3 linked regions of the Callithrix jacchus genome follow. The protein of the gene in region 1 interacts with the protein of each later gene in a biochemical or structural test. Links are inferred from orthologs where the notes say so. Each region holds a gene or a part of one and is shown in the gene's direction. Other genes may lie near its edges.

Region 1 (4,078 bases):
GTCTGCGAGTGTGGATGTGTATATATCTGCGTACATCATTTGAGAAAGTGCGGCCATCTAGGATTGGCTACAAGGCAAAGGTGGAGAAAGGTGGAGACCTTTAGGAGCCCACCCACCCCAGCGTTAGGACGGTGGGCCCGAAAGTTACTATGCAGAACTCTTCAGCGTGCAGCCCTGACCCAGTGCAGAACGTGTTAGGGACAGAGGAACAACACGGACTTAAATTATTTTAAAGCCCTTGATAACCCCTCGCTGGCTCCTTCCGTGGAGCGCTGAGTTCTGCCTGGCCTTGGCCACGTACTGGATATTCACGGGGACACCGGCGAGAATGCGCGCGCGTGTGTAGTGCGCCGACACCTAGTAATCCACTTGAAAGTAAACACTACGCTGGGGGCGTCCCTGGATATTGCTTAAAACGTTTCAGAGTCGCCTGTTTTCACCGCAGGGCAGAGCTAAGGTCCCCCTGCTTGGGGGTGGGGGGTGGGGGTGGCATTGGCCTGGGTCTTCCCCCGGGGGCAGAGCGCGGGTAACATGGCGTGTGTGTGTGTGTGTGTGTGTGTAGGCGCGTGTACACACACACGGCTAGAAAGGGTCCAGGCGACACACACACACACATACACTCACTCTCTCACTCTCTCTCTCTCTCTCTCTCTCTCTCTCTCAGTCGGCTAGAAAGGGTCCAGGCGGTTCCCGGCGCTTTTCCAGCCCTTGTTTTCATGGCGCACCCTCCCGCCAGCCGCCCCCCTCCGCTCTCCGTCGCCGGCCGGGCCGCGTGCGGTTCCCCGGCAGCCCCCACCCCCTCGCGGACCCCGAGGTCCGCGCCCGGCCCTCCACAGGCCTGAGCAGAAGGCCCGCTCACACCCACCGCGCCGCGGCCGCGCGGGAGGCCTGCGCCGCCCGCGCAACCCGCGCCACCCACCGGCCGGGCCGGGCGAACGCAGCGGAACGGGCGGGTGGCCGGCCCGGGTGCGCCCTCCCCGGTCGCGGCCCCGCGCGCCATGTGCCCCCGGTGGGGTGCGCCGCTCCCGGGCCCGCCGCGGCGCCTTTAACCCGGGCCAGCGAGCGGGGCGGAGGGGGCGGTCGGGCGGCTCAGAGGAGGGCTCTTTCTTTCTTCTTTTTTTGAATGAACCGTGTGACGTTACGCACAGGAAACCGGTCGGGCTATGCGGAGAATGAAGTAAGAGGACAGACACCCCCGCCCCGCGCCCGCCCCCTTCCTCCCGCGCCCGCCCCTCTGCGCCGCCAGCCCGCCCGCCGCGCCGCCCGCTCGCCGCTCGCCTTGGCCCCGCCGCGCCGCCGCCGCCGCCGCTGCCAGCGAAGGTGCCGGGGCGCCGGGCCCTCCCCGCCGGCGGCCGTCTGCGCTCGGAGCGGGCTGCGCGGCGGGAGCTCCGGGAGGCGGCCGCAGCCAGCGCCGTCGCGCAGGAGCAGGAGGAGGAGAAAGGGTGCGCAGCCCGGAGGCGGGGTGCGCCGGTGGGGTGCAGCGGAAGAAGGGGGTCCAGGGGGGAGAACTTCGTAGCAGTCGTCCTTTTTAGGAAAAGAGGGAAAAAATAAAGCCCTCCCCCACCACCTCCTTCTCCCCACCCCTCGCCGCACCACACACAGCGCGGGCTTCTAGCGCTCGGCACCGGCGGGCCAGGCGCGTCCTGCCTTCATTTATCCAGCAGCTTTTCGGAAAATGCATTCGCTGTTCGGAGTTTAATCAGAAGAGGATTGCTGCCCCCGTCCCCGGCTCCTCCGTCGTCCCCCCTCCCCTGTCTCTCTGCCGGGGAGGCGTGAAGCGGTCCGGTGGATAGAGATTCATGCCTGTGCCCGCGCGTGTATGCGCGCGTGTAAATTGCCGAGAAGGGGAAAACATCACAGGACTTCTGCGAATACCGGACTGAAAATTGTAATTCATCTGCCGCCGCCGCTGCCTTTTTTTCTCGAGCTCTTGAGATCTCCAGTTGGGATTCCTGCGGATTGACATTTCTGTGAAGCAGAAGTCTGGGAATCGATCTGGAAATCCTCCTAATTTTTACTCCCCCTCCCCCCGACTTCTGATTCATTGGGAAGTTTCAAAGCAGCTATAACCGGAGAGTGCTGAAGATTGATGGGATTGTTGCCTTATGCATTTGTTTTGGTTTTACAAAAAAGGAAACTTGACAGAGGATCATGCTGTTCTTAAAAAATACAAGTAAGTTCTCTGCACAGGAAATTGGCTTAATGTAACTTTCAATGAAAACATTTGAGAATTTTTACTTAAAGTGCATTCGAGTAAATTTAATTTCCAGGCAGTTTAATACATTCTTTTTAGCCGTGTTACTTGTAGTGCGTATGCCCTGCTTTCAGCCAGGGCATACAGGAAAATGCACCTGATTTTTTTAACTTATGAGTTTGTTTCTTCTTTAACCTTTCAGCATCACGGAGGAAGTAGACTGATATTAACAATGCTTACTACTAACGTGCCTCATGAAATAAAGATCCGAAAGGAATTGGAATAAAAATTTCCTGCGTCTCATGCCAAGGGGGAAACACCAGAATCAAGTGTTCCGCGTGACTGAAGACACCCCCTCTTCCAAGAATGCAAAGCACATCCAATAAAATAGCTGGATTATAACTCTTCTTCTTTCTTTGGGGGCCGTGGGGTGGGAGCTGGAGCGAGAGGTGCCGTTGGCCCCCGCTGCTTTTCCTCGGGGAAGGATGGCGCACGCTGGGAGAACAGGGTACGATAACCGGGAGATAGTGATGAAGTACATCCACTATAAGCTGTCGCAGAGGGGCTACGAGTGGGATGCCGGAGATGTGGGCGCCGCGCCCCCAGGGGCCGCCCCCGCGGAGGGCATCTTCTCTTCCCAGCCCGGGCACACGCCCGGTCCCGCCGCGCCCCGGGACCCGGTCGCCAGGACCTCGCCGCCGCCGCCCCCAGCCGCCCCCGCCGCCGCCGCCACGGGGCCTACGCTCAGCCCGGTGCCACCTGTGGTCCACCTGACCCTCCGCCAGGCCGGCGACGACTTCTCCCGCCGCTACCGCCGCGACTTCGCCGAGATGTCCAGCCAGCTGCACCTGACGCCCTTCACCGCGCGGGGACGCTTTGCCACGGTGGTGGAGGAGCTCTTCAGGGACGGGGTGAACTGGGGGAGGATTGTGGCCTTCTTTGAGTTCGGTGGGGTCATGTGTGTGGAGAGCGTCAACCGGGAGATGTCGCCCCTGGTGGACAACATCGCCCTGTGGATGACCGAGTACCTGAACCGGCACCTGCACACCTGGATCCAGGATAACGGAGGCTGGGTAGGTGCACGTGGTGATGGGAGTCTGGGCTGAGGCTGCAGGTCCGAGATGTGGGGGTTGGAGTGCGGCGGGTGGGCTCCTGGGGTAAGGGGAGGCTGTGGGGCTGGTGAAATAAAATCAGGGTTGTTGCTTCCCGGCGTCCATAACCTCTTCCTCTGGACAAAGTGTTCTTTCCCAACCTGAGTGATGACGCCTGCCCTCTAAAAGTCTTTAACTTGCTCGCTAGTTGAGGAGGTCCAGTAGGATGTGGTGGTCAATGGTACCCCTTCAGTGTTTCTCGAGCTGGAGGTCCAGGAGTCCCCAGGACCACAGTTTCCTGGCCTGAGCAGCTTGTTGGGACCGGAGGGAGGTTTCAGGGCCTGCTTATGAACCAGATGCCAGGTTGGGTCTTGACAGTCTGCATCCTAAACAAGCTCCCCTGAGACACGCCCCTGGTGCACTTAAATTTGGGAACACCCCAATGAGAAGAACAGACTCCACAGAAGACTAAGGGTACGCTTTTTCTAACTCGGTAAAATTTTCCAAAAGAGGAAAACCAACCTGAGTCCCTTTCCCTGGAAAACTTAGTTGTGTTTGTAAAGAGCTAAATTGACATTCCAAAGTCCTTGCACTGGAATCTCCAGTGTGTGCCATATTTCCAGTGGGCGTGACGCAGTGTCTTGAGGGGTATTGGTCTATGGCTTTGCTACCTCGTCAGTGACAGAATTTGCATCGGCTGCATTCTTTATGTTCTATAATTTGTGTATGAGTTACTAATTCACTAGAATGTTGTTAGAATCTTTTGTTTTTCACTACCTAGAGTCGACATAAT
Region 2 (4,281 bases), about 3.4 Mb from region 1:
ACATTTTTGCAATATATTTTGAAGGCCAATTTAAACCAAACACTTCTAGAGAGTCCATGCAACCAAATTGCAATATTTCCATTAAACAGTACAGCTAATATGAAAACACACATTTTTTTTTTTCCTTTTCTTTTCTGAGGCTGTCTTATTTTGTCGCCCAGGCTGGAGTGCAGTGGCGCGATCTCGGCTCACTGCAACCTCCGATTCCCAGGTTCTAGCGATTTTCGTGCCTCAGCCTCCCAAGCAGCTGGTACCACAGGCGTGCGCCAACCCAAGGCTGGCTAATTTTTTGTATTTTACAAAGACTGGTTTTGAACTGCTGGCCTCAAGTGAACAAGCCTTCTCGGCCTCCCAAAGAGCTGAGATTACAGGCGTGAGCCACCGCGACCGGAGAAAACACACATTTTCCAAGAAACTGATTGCTGGGAAGGCTACAGTGGATAAGAGCGCTTGCTCTCTGTGGGACTGCGTGGGTCGGGATCACGGCAGTGCTCTTTGCCTATGTGAACTTGGGCAATTTTCTATAAATCTGTCTCGGCACCTGTAAAGTAGCGACGGTTACATGCCAAAGCTCTTAGCACGGAGCGACTCCCAGTAACCGTTAACTATTCCTAATTACCTCCTCATAATAGTAGACTTACTCGGGGCCTCGCCAAGTGTTGCATTAATAATTTCACTTTTCCAGGTAGCTCATCCCTCCCACAAAATATCTGAACGTTTTCCATATGATAATGATCCACTCGTTTTTGCTAAACATCCAGAATGGGCGATATCGACCTTTCTGGAAGGACACACACAAACCCCTTCCCAACTCAAACACGAAGTTCTTTCTGCCTGGCACCAGGGCTCGCGTTCGCAGTGACTTCCCGGACCCCGGCGCCTTCTCACAGGGCCTCTGGCTTCTCCTCTGCCGCGATTAATGTTCTCCTCATTTCCCCTCCCTGCTACTGCGCATACTCTCCAAGTTCGAAAAGTTTCCTTTTCCAATCTCTTTCCGGGGCTTGTTTACCCAAGTCTCTCTCTAATTGTCCAGGCGCCAGGTCTCTTCCCACCCACCAGCTTTCCTCCTGGGAATATCCTTCCCCTCCCGCCCCTCTCAGCTCCCGCCACCACTGCCGCGGACGACGTCCCGCTTTTGCAGATGCTCAGGCCGACCCTCTTCTCCTCCCACTCCCGTTTTGTAAGGAAGTAATTTGGGGCCCAACAGGGTCTCGCCCGCCGAGCGCTCAGCATCCCCCGCCGCGGGTCGGCGCCGCCGCGGGTCCGGAGCGTGTCCCGGCAGGCCGCGCTCTATGGGGAACTTCCCCGCCTGCCCGAACTTTCGAGCCAGCCGGGACCCAGTGTTTGCTCCAGAAACTCAGTCCGCGGGGCCCGGACAGGGGCGGGGACAGGGGGCGGGCCCGGCGTGAAGTTTTCCTACGTCACCAGGGAAGTCCCCCGCGGGAACAAAAGCACGGTCTCTGGCGCTGGGACCTCACAAGTTCCCTGGCACTCACGGAGTTCGCTCGTCAGCTCCGCGCGTCCGGCCACCCGATCCCGCCATCAGATCCCGCTACCCCAGCCTGCGGGTCTGTTCTGTGCGGCTCGCGTCCTGCGGACGTCCGAGGTGCCCCGGGCGGAGGCTGAGGCTCCCAGGCTCCGCAGCTGAGTGGGCTGCGGCACCGGCAGAGATGCCTGGGAAGAAGGCGCGCAAGAGCGCGCAACCGAGCCCCGCGCGGGCTCCAGCAGGTACCGACCCGCTGGGGCCCGCGGGGACTCAGGCCGGGCGGGGTCGGGTCCGGGGTCGAGGTATCGGTCGGGGCGGGCTCCGCCCGTCTGGGCTCGGGCACACACTGTCGGGGGCCCAAGGTCGGGCCAGGTCTGTGCCCGCGCGCCAGCCTTAGGGGCGCCTCCAGGAAGTTCTACAGGGGTTTTCCCCAGCCTCACTGGGACGACGAGAAGCCGAGCCCTATTTGGGATTGGGATGTAGCTGCGTCTCACCAGCGGCAAAAAGCTCCTGGCCTCCTCTCTTTCCTCCTCCCCACTTGCCCTTCCCCGGGGTCACGAGGAAAACAAGTGCAAGTGTATGAGGCTGCCTCTAGGAGAAAGTCATTGTCGCCGCAGAAGGGGCAGGAGAGGGCTCCGGGGACCGCCTGGACTCCTGGCGCTTCCAGAGACGGCCCCACAAGGGACCCTGTGTTCGGAGCTTAGAAATTCTAATAACCTTTAAATAATCGGTATTGTGGGATAGGAGAATAGGTGTTGATCCCTCCCTTTTTTCATTCATCCATTTCCACTCCCCGCCCCCATTCATACTTTTCAGGCCAGCCCCCCACCAGCCCCGGGTCCCATCCTTTTTATAAATCTAATCAGAGAACCCATGGTTCTGCCCCGGACCCACAATCTCTGGGGCCGTACTGCTGTTGCATCAGACGATTAGACGCCCCCGACCCGCCCCCCCCCCCACTTTTTAAGTTACTTTCATTTTATAGAGTTCGTGGGGCGTGCAAAGGAAGTGGTGCATTGCAAATGTGCCCATGCCTAAGTTGGTAACAGGCTGCTGTCTCTGCCTCTTGTGTAAGACGGAAAAAGCTTTGTCTACGTTTTGTGATGTCCAAGAATTCTGACCATGTTTTCTTGCCGAAGGATCTGACCTGTGCATAGCACTTTGTGGTTTGACTTAATTTCCAAGAACAAGAAGCAGCACAAAGTCCCTCTTAAACTTGATTTGATACTAATATGTTTATAGGTAACTGCGATTTTTAAAAGTTAAGGAAACAACTGGGAACTATTTTCTGCCTTTTTTTCTACTTTTTTGGTGAGACGGATACAGGGCTTCCAATGTTGGGTGCTGAATGGTATTGGTTTTTCTTTTAGAACTGTGTATTAATGTATCTCAATCTCTGTCGACAACATGTCTATGTAAATACTTCTTATATAGGCCGGGTGCCGTGGCTGACGCCTGTAATCCCAACACTTTGGGAGTCTGAGGCGGGCGGATCGCGAGGGTAGGAGATCAAGACCATCCTGAGTAACACAGTGAAACCCCATCTCTACTAAAAATACAAAAAATTAGCCAGGCGTGGTGGCACGCGCCTGTAATCCCAGCTACTCGAGGGGCTGAGGAAGGAGAATCTCTTGAACGCGAGAAGTGGAGGTTACAATGAGCTGAGATTGCGCCACTGTATGGGCGACAGAGAGAGACTCCCTCTCAAACAGCAGCAAGAACAACAACACAAAACTTCACAAAATGTTTGATCTTGTAGCCCATAAAGAATAACGTCTAATGAGATTTATTAGGTCTCTTGGTGTAGGGGTTAGGAAGGATTTCACTCAGCTCTTGTAGAGAGAAATTAGTTGAAATGTAGGTTTAAAATTTTGCTTTACTATGTACTTACAGTTATTTATTTTGAGCCTAAATGTGGTCTTTTCGGGGTCGATTATAAAATAGGCCATATTTTAATTTGTAATCATGATTTTTCATGTATATAATCATGAAGTAGACCCAAAAGACCTCAAGCTGCTCTTTGAAATAGTTAAGAAAAATTGAAATTATCGTCAGTATAGGTGTGATATTATAGTCAGTATAGTGTTAATTGCACTTACTGAACAAAGTGTACTTGGAAATTATAGGCATTATTTTTCTTAATATTCATTTAGAATAACTCAATTCCAAAAAGTAGGAAACATGTGAATTAAACATTACTTGTTTACTGCTCCTCTCATGTCCATAAAGGCAATGGATTGGTACAGAATGGGGTTGTAGGAAGAAGTGGGCTTACATTAAAATAGAAATATTTAAATTATTTTAGAGAATGTAGACAATTTTAGAATACGATTTTATGAGTCTTCTATGAGAAAATATCAGAGTTTTTCAGTGAGAAAAAGAATACATTTAGATTTGCCTATATAATGAGAGTGTAACCTAAGTTGTAAATTATTGCCATTTGAAAACCAAATCCTACTTGAAATCCACACAGAACTTGACTTCTGTTCCCCAGACAACCTTAAATGAAGGCTAAGAAGATGACATCATCTGAGGCTGGTAAAATGACTAATGTTACTCTTTGTAGTATTTGCCATATTTGAAGGTAAAGGTAACACTTGCCTCATCCAGGATGTATTTAAAAATAATTCAAAGTAAATGTCTTTATTTTATTTTATGGATTGCTGTTGGTGAGTCACAATGTGTGTGTGTGTTTGTCACATTTGGAAAACAGGTGCACATAAAGCCGAAGTTAAGAGAAATGCTTCCTGGGTTACTCAGTTTGTCACTAGTATGGGCATATTAGGTCTTACTGG
Region 3 (3,945 bases), on another chromosome or scaffold:
CAGCTGCTGGGGGAGAAGGATTTGCTAAGGAGAGGATGGTTCCCCCCAATCCCACCCAGTCAGCCCCAACCCCATTGCTCCAACCTTGGCCTGCCTGGCCTTCCTGACCAGCCACTCCTGAGTGGGCAGCTGCTGGGGGAGAAAGATTTGCTCAGGACAGGATGGTTCTCCCATTTCCAAAGACGGCTCCAGTCACGTCGGAGACAGGAACATTCCAAGTGCCTGCAGCCCCAGGAAGATTCTTACCGTGGAAGCCTGGGCCTGGAGACTCTGGTTAGGCGAGGGTGGGCCTCCCAGGGCTTCCTGGCCACGGCGGTGGGCCACTGAGAGCATTAAGCACTCTTGTGGACTGGGGAGAGCAGGGAGGAGAACCAGCTCCGAGGGTATACTGTGTACAAGGCACCTCTGCAGCTGTTATTGTCCTGACAACCAGAAAGGGTGGATAATCGGACATATCATCTTCATTTTAGAGCTGAGGAAGCTGAGGCTCCGAGAGGTCAAGCGACTGCCCTAGGCCACACAGTGGCATGGGAGCAGCCAGATCAGTGAATCCATCACCTGGGCTTTGCCGCGGCCTGCTCCCGCTCCTCGGGAAGTGCCCTCTTCAGGAGAAATCTCACCCTCTGAGGAAGTCGTTTTTTTCTATAAGCTGCCTTCTCGTGTGGAAGCTGGGTGCCCTGCTACCTGGGATTTTTTGTTCTTGGGGTGGCATGAAGGCCAAGCGATGCAGGCAAGGCGCCCGCAGACTCAAAGGCCAGGCCCTGTCTTCGCGAGCAGACGAATTGCTGTGTGACTGTGGGCCGCCACCGAGCCTCTCTGAGCCTCGCTCTTTCCACTTCTTCCTGGGGAAGCCCCAGGTAAGTTTATTTATAACCTAGCCCCGGGTGCGCCGCCTCGGGAGGTGTGAGTGAGGCCTCGGTTCCCTCACCTGAGAACCAGCTCCCCGGCTCCGGCCGCAGGAGGCGGGTTATGTAACCGGGTGTGCGGCGTGGGGGGAGCCGCGGGGCGGGGCGCTCGCGGCTATTCCGGGCGCCGCTATTTTTAGCCCCATTGATGAGGCTGCGTCGGCCGCCGCCGCCGGGATTCCGGAGACGTCAATGGGCGCGCGTCACGGTCCCCGCCCCTCCCGCCGGGGGAGGTGCGCCGGGGCTGGGGCAGAGCGCGGGCGGCCGCGGGCGCGGGGGCGGGGAGCGCGGTGCTGCCGGAACTGCGGGCGGGGGGCTACCCGGGGGCGGGGGGCGCCGAGCGGCGGCGCGGCTGCAGGAGCGCGAGGCGGCGGTGGCGGCGGAACTGGCGGGATCCCAGCGCGGCACCCTCGACCCCCGGCCTGCCGGCATGGGCGCCCCTGCGGCGCGGAGCAGCTTCGGGACTGCTGGGGCGCGACCCCGGAAAGCGGGGGTGGAGAGGCGAGCGGAGCCCGCAGGGTCAGGTGAGGGGCCGTCGGGGTGGCTGGAGGTGGGCCCGGGAGAGGCCGGGCAGTCTCGGGGCCTTGGTGGATGCCTTGGGGCGGGCTCGGGGCCATGCCGGGAGTCCCGCTTGGAAACTAGGGGAGTCGGGGAGAGGGACTGGATTCCCAGCGGAACCTCCTGGCTCCGAGTCAGCCCCCAAGAGCGACCGCCAAGGCTTTCTCTCCCCAGCCCGCCAAGGGTGGGGTTTGGCCCACGAGGGGCGCTGGAGGTGGCCAGGCCAGAGAAATTCCTTCCATTTCCCCGCCGGCTGCGGGAACCGGTTCCAGGAGCGCGGGAGCTCGTCTGCCAGGAGACCCAGCCGAGAGGGACCGATGCTGCGCGATGCAGCCCCTTAGCGGGACTGAGTCGAGGAACCAAGGCTGGGGATCTCGTGGAGTCAGGCGGAGCTGGGGCTTAGGACTCGGGGTTCGTGTCTCCCAGGCGTGTTGTTGTTGTTGTTGTTTGCCGCAACATCTTCCCTCCTTACATTGGGTGGGGTGGGGGCGGGTATTTCCAGACCTTCTTACCCTGGTGGTCTGTGTTGAGGGCCCGGGGCACAGTTCCTTGACTTCTCTCATTCCCTTTTTATGTCTTCATTTTTGATAGATGACCTGGTGGACTCGAGAAATGCTGCAGAGGTGGTTTTCAGTGAATTGTGAATTTGGGTATAGGGCTATATTAGGGGCACATTGGGAAAACGCAGGCTGGGCAGAGGTCGTTAGGTTCCCTACAGTTATGCCCAATGGGTGCTGATGGATTTGGGGGCTGCTGTCGGCCTGGTCTGGGGCCCTAGTGGTGGGGCTACAAGGCTTGCCCCTAGACCTACTCAAGTGAACGTTCTTATCAGTGACTTGGATGAAGACTTAAACAGGAAGTCAGCCAACTCCTTGTAGTCACCCAGAGCTGTGAGGAGTGACACTTACAGTGTGATAACATCAAGATTCTAATTGCAGGCGACTGGGCAGAAGGATGGGCTGAGATTAACAATGTGAATGTGACTGACATCCCGGTTGAGGCCCGTGCTGGACTCAAGAAAATCAGCTGAGGAGTTCAGGCCCTGTGCCTGGCTCAAAGGCCCTTAGCTTCTGACCTGCTCTCTGGACAGAGGCTGTGGGACTGCTCTGTGCAGTGTGTACCCTCCATCCACTACACAGGTCCAAGCGGGTGGCAAGGGGGAGGAAGGATGCTTGATTTGGACTCCTTGGTTGGGCTCCCTGGGTTCTAAACCCAGTTTTGCCAATTCCTAGCTGTGTGACCTTGGACAAGTTGCTTAACATTATAATCCCTTCCTCATAGCATTGGGAGGCTGAAATGAAACAATGTGTCTAAAGTGCTTAACAGTGTATCTGGCACATGTTGTCAGATACACTGTTAAGTGTATTAACTGCTGTTTATTATTATATATATATAATATATATATTTTTATATATTATATTATATTTATACTTATATATATAAGTATATTAGCTGCTGTTGTTATTGCTAATAATAGTAATATGCCCATTTCTGGGTGGGGACATTGGCCAATGCAGAGCTTGTACTCAGGAGGCCACCAGGGCCTGTCAGGCAGAGGGCCTGTCAGTGGTATCCTGTTGCAACAGGCAGTTTAGTTAGGAAATGGCTAAAGTACTCGTTAGGAAGGACTAGAATGAGGCTTCCCACTGGCCAGTACAGGGGGCAAAGCTGGGATCCAGGGCTGGGGAATTTTAGAATCTGGGTTGTGATTCAACATAAGGAAGAAGGCTCTGGCGCTTGGATCTGCCCCCAAAAGGAAGGGATAGCTCTTGAGCTGGAAGGCTCTTCCCTTCTGAGCACCTGCCAGTGCTGAGCAGGGTTTAGAGACTGCAGACTCCGCAGTGATTGAGGGGGACAGCATCCTTAGATTCTGGTTGGTTAGAAAGGTGATAAACCAGTGAACAGATGTGAACACAAGACCTATGGTGAATAAAATTAGGCTAGTGTGGTGGGGTGGGGATGTAGGCCCTTTAGGGAGATGACATGGGAAATGAAACCTGATTGATAAGGAAGAGCCAGTTCTGGGCAGAGGGAATGGCCAGTGCAGAGACCCTGAGTGGGGAGAGAAGGCCCACATGACTGGAGCACAGTGAATGGCTGGGAAATGAAATTGGTGGGGAGCAGTAGCTAAGGACTAAAGTCTGGCCTGATGCTCCACCCCATTTTGGGGGTCACTTGTCCTCCTTTTTTTTTTTTTTTTTTGAGACAAGTCTCACTCTGTTACCCAGGCTGGAGTGCAGTGGTGGGATCTTGGCTCACCACAATCTCCGCATCCTGGGTTCAAGTGATTCTTCTGACTCAGCCTCCCAAGTATCTGGGACTACAGGCGTGTGCCGCCATGCCCGGCTGGTTTTTGTGTTTTTAGTAGAGAAAGGGTTTCACTATGTTGGCCAAGCTGGTCTCAAATTCCTGACCTTGTGATGCGCCTGCCTTGGCCTCCCAAAGCGTGAGCCACCTCGACCAGCCACTTTCGCCTCCTCCA

The links.
Region 2: the proteins of BCL2 (region 1) and PMAIP1 interact in a biophysical measurement, tested with the Homo sapiens proteins (2 studies listed by BioGRID and IntAct, with this or other methods). The link is inferred for Callithrix jacchus from reciprocal best matches to the Homo sapiens genes BCL2 and PMAIP1.
Region 3: the proteins of BCL2 (region 1) and NR4A1 form a complex in vitro, tested with the Homo sapiens proteins (2 studies listed by BioGRID). The link is inferred for Callithrix jacchus from reciprocal best matches to the Homo sapiens genes BCL2 and NR4A1.

The regions. Positions count from the first base shown.
Region 1 is NC_133514.1:106,292,017-106,296,094, reverse strand, and holds the start of BCL2 (apoptosis regulator Bcl-2), read left to right. Parts: upstream 1-1,276; 5' UTR 1,277-2,173; intron 2,174-2,396; 5' UTR 2,397-2,679; coding exon 2,680-3,267; intron 3,268-4,078. UniProt on the Homo sapiens protein: Suppresses apoptosis in a variety of cell systems including factor-dependent lymphohematopoietic and neural cells. Regulates cell death by controlling the mitochondrial membrane permeability. Appears to function in a feedback loop system with caspases.
Region 2 is NC_133514.1:102,886,337-102,890,617, forward strand, and holds the start of PMAIP1 (phorbol-12-myristate-13-acetate-induced protein 1), read left to right. Parts: upstream 1-1,476; 5' UTR 1,477-1,670; coding exon 1,671-1,728; intron 1,729-4,281. UniProt on the Homo sapiens protein: Promotes activation of caspases and apoptosis. Promotes mitochondrial membrane changes and efflux of apoptogenic proteins from the mitochondria. Contributes to p53/TP53-dependent apoptosis after radiation exposure. Promotes proteasomal degradation of MCL1.
Region 3 is NC_133510.1:67,441,055-67,444,999, reverse strand, and holds the start of NR4A1 (nuclear receptor subfamily 4immunitygroup A member 1), read left to right. Parts: upstream 1-1,140; 5' UTR 1,141-1,335; coding exon 1,336-1,429; intron 1,430-1,651; exon of another isoform or gene 1,652-1,874; intron 1,875-3,945. UniProt on the Homo sapiens protein: Orphan nuclear receptor. Binds the NGFI-B response element (NBRE) 5'-AAAGGTCA-3'. Binds 9-cis-retinoic acid outside of its ligand-binding (NR LBD) domain.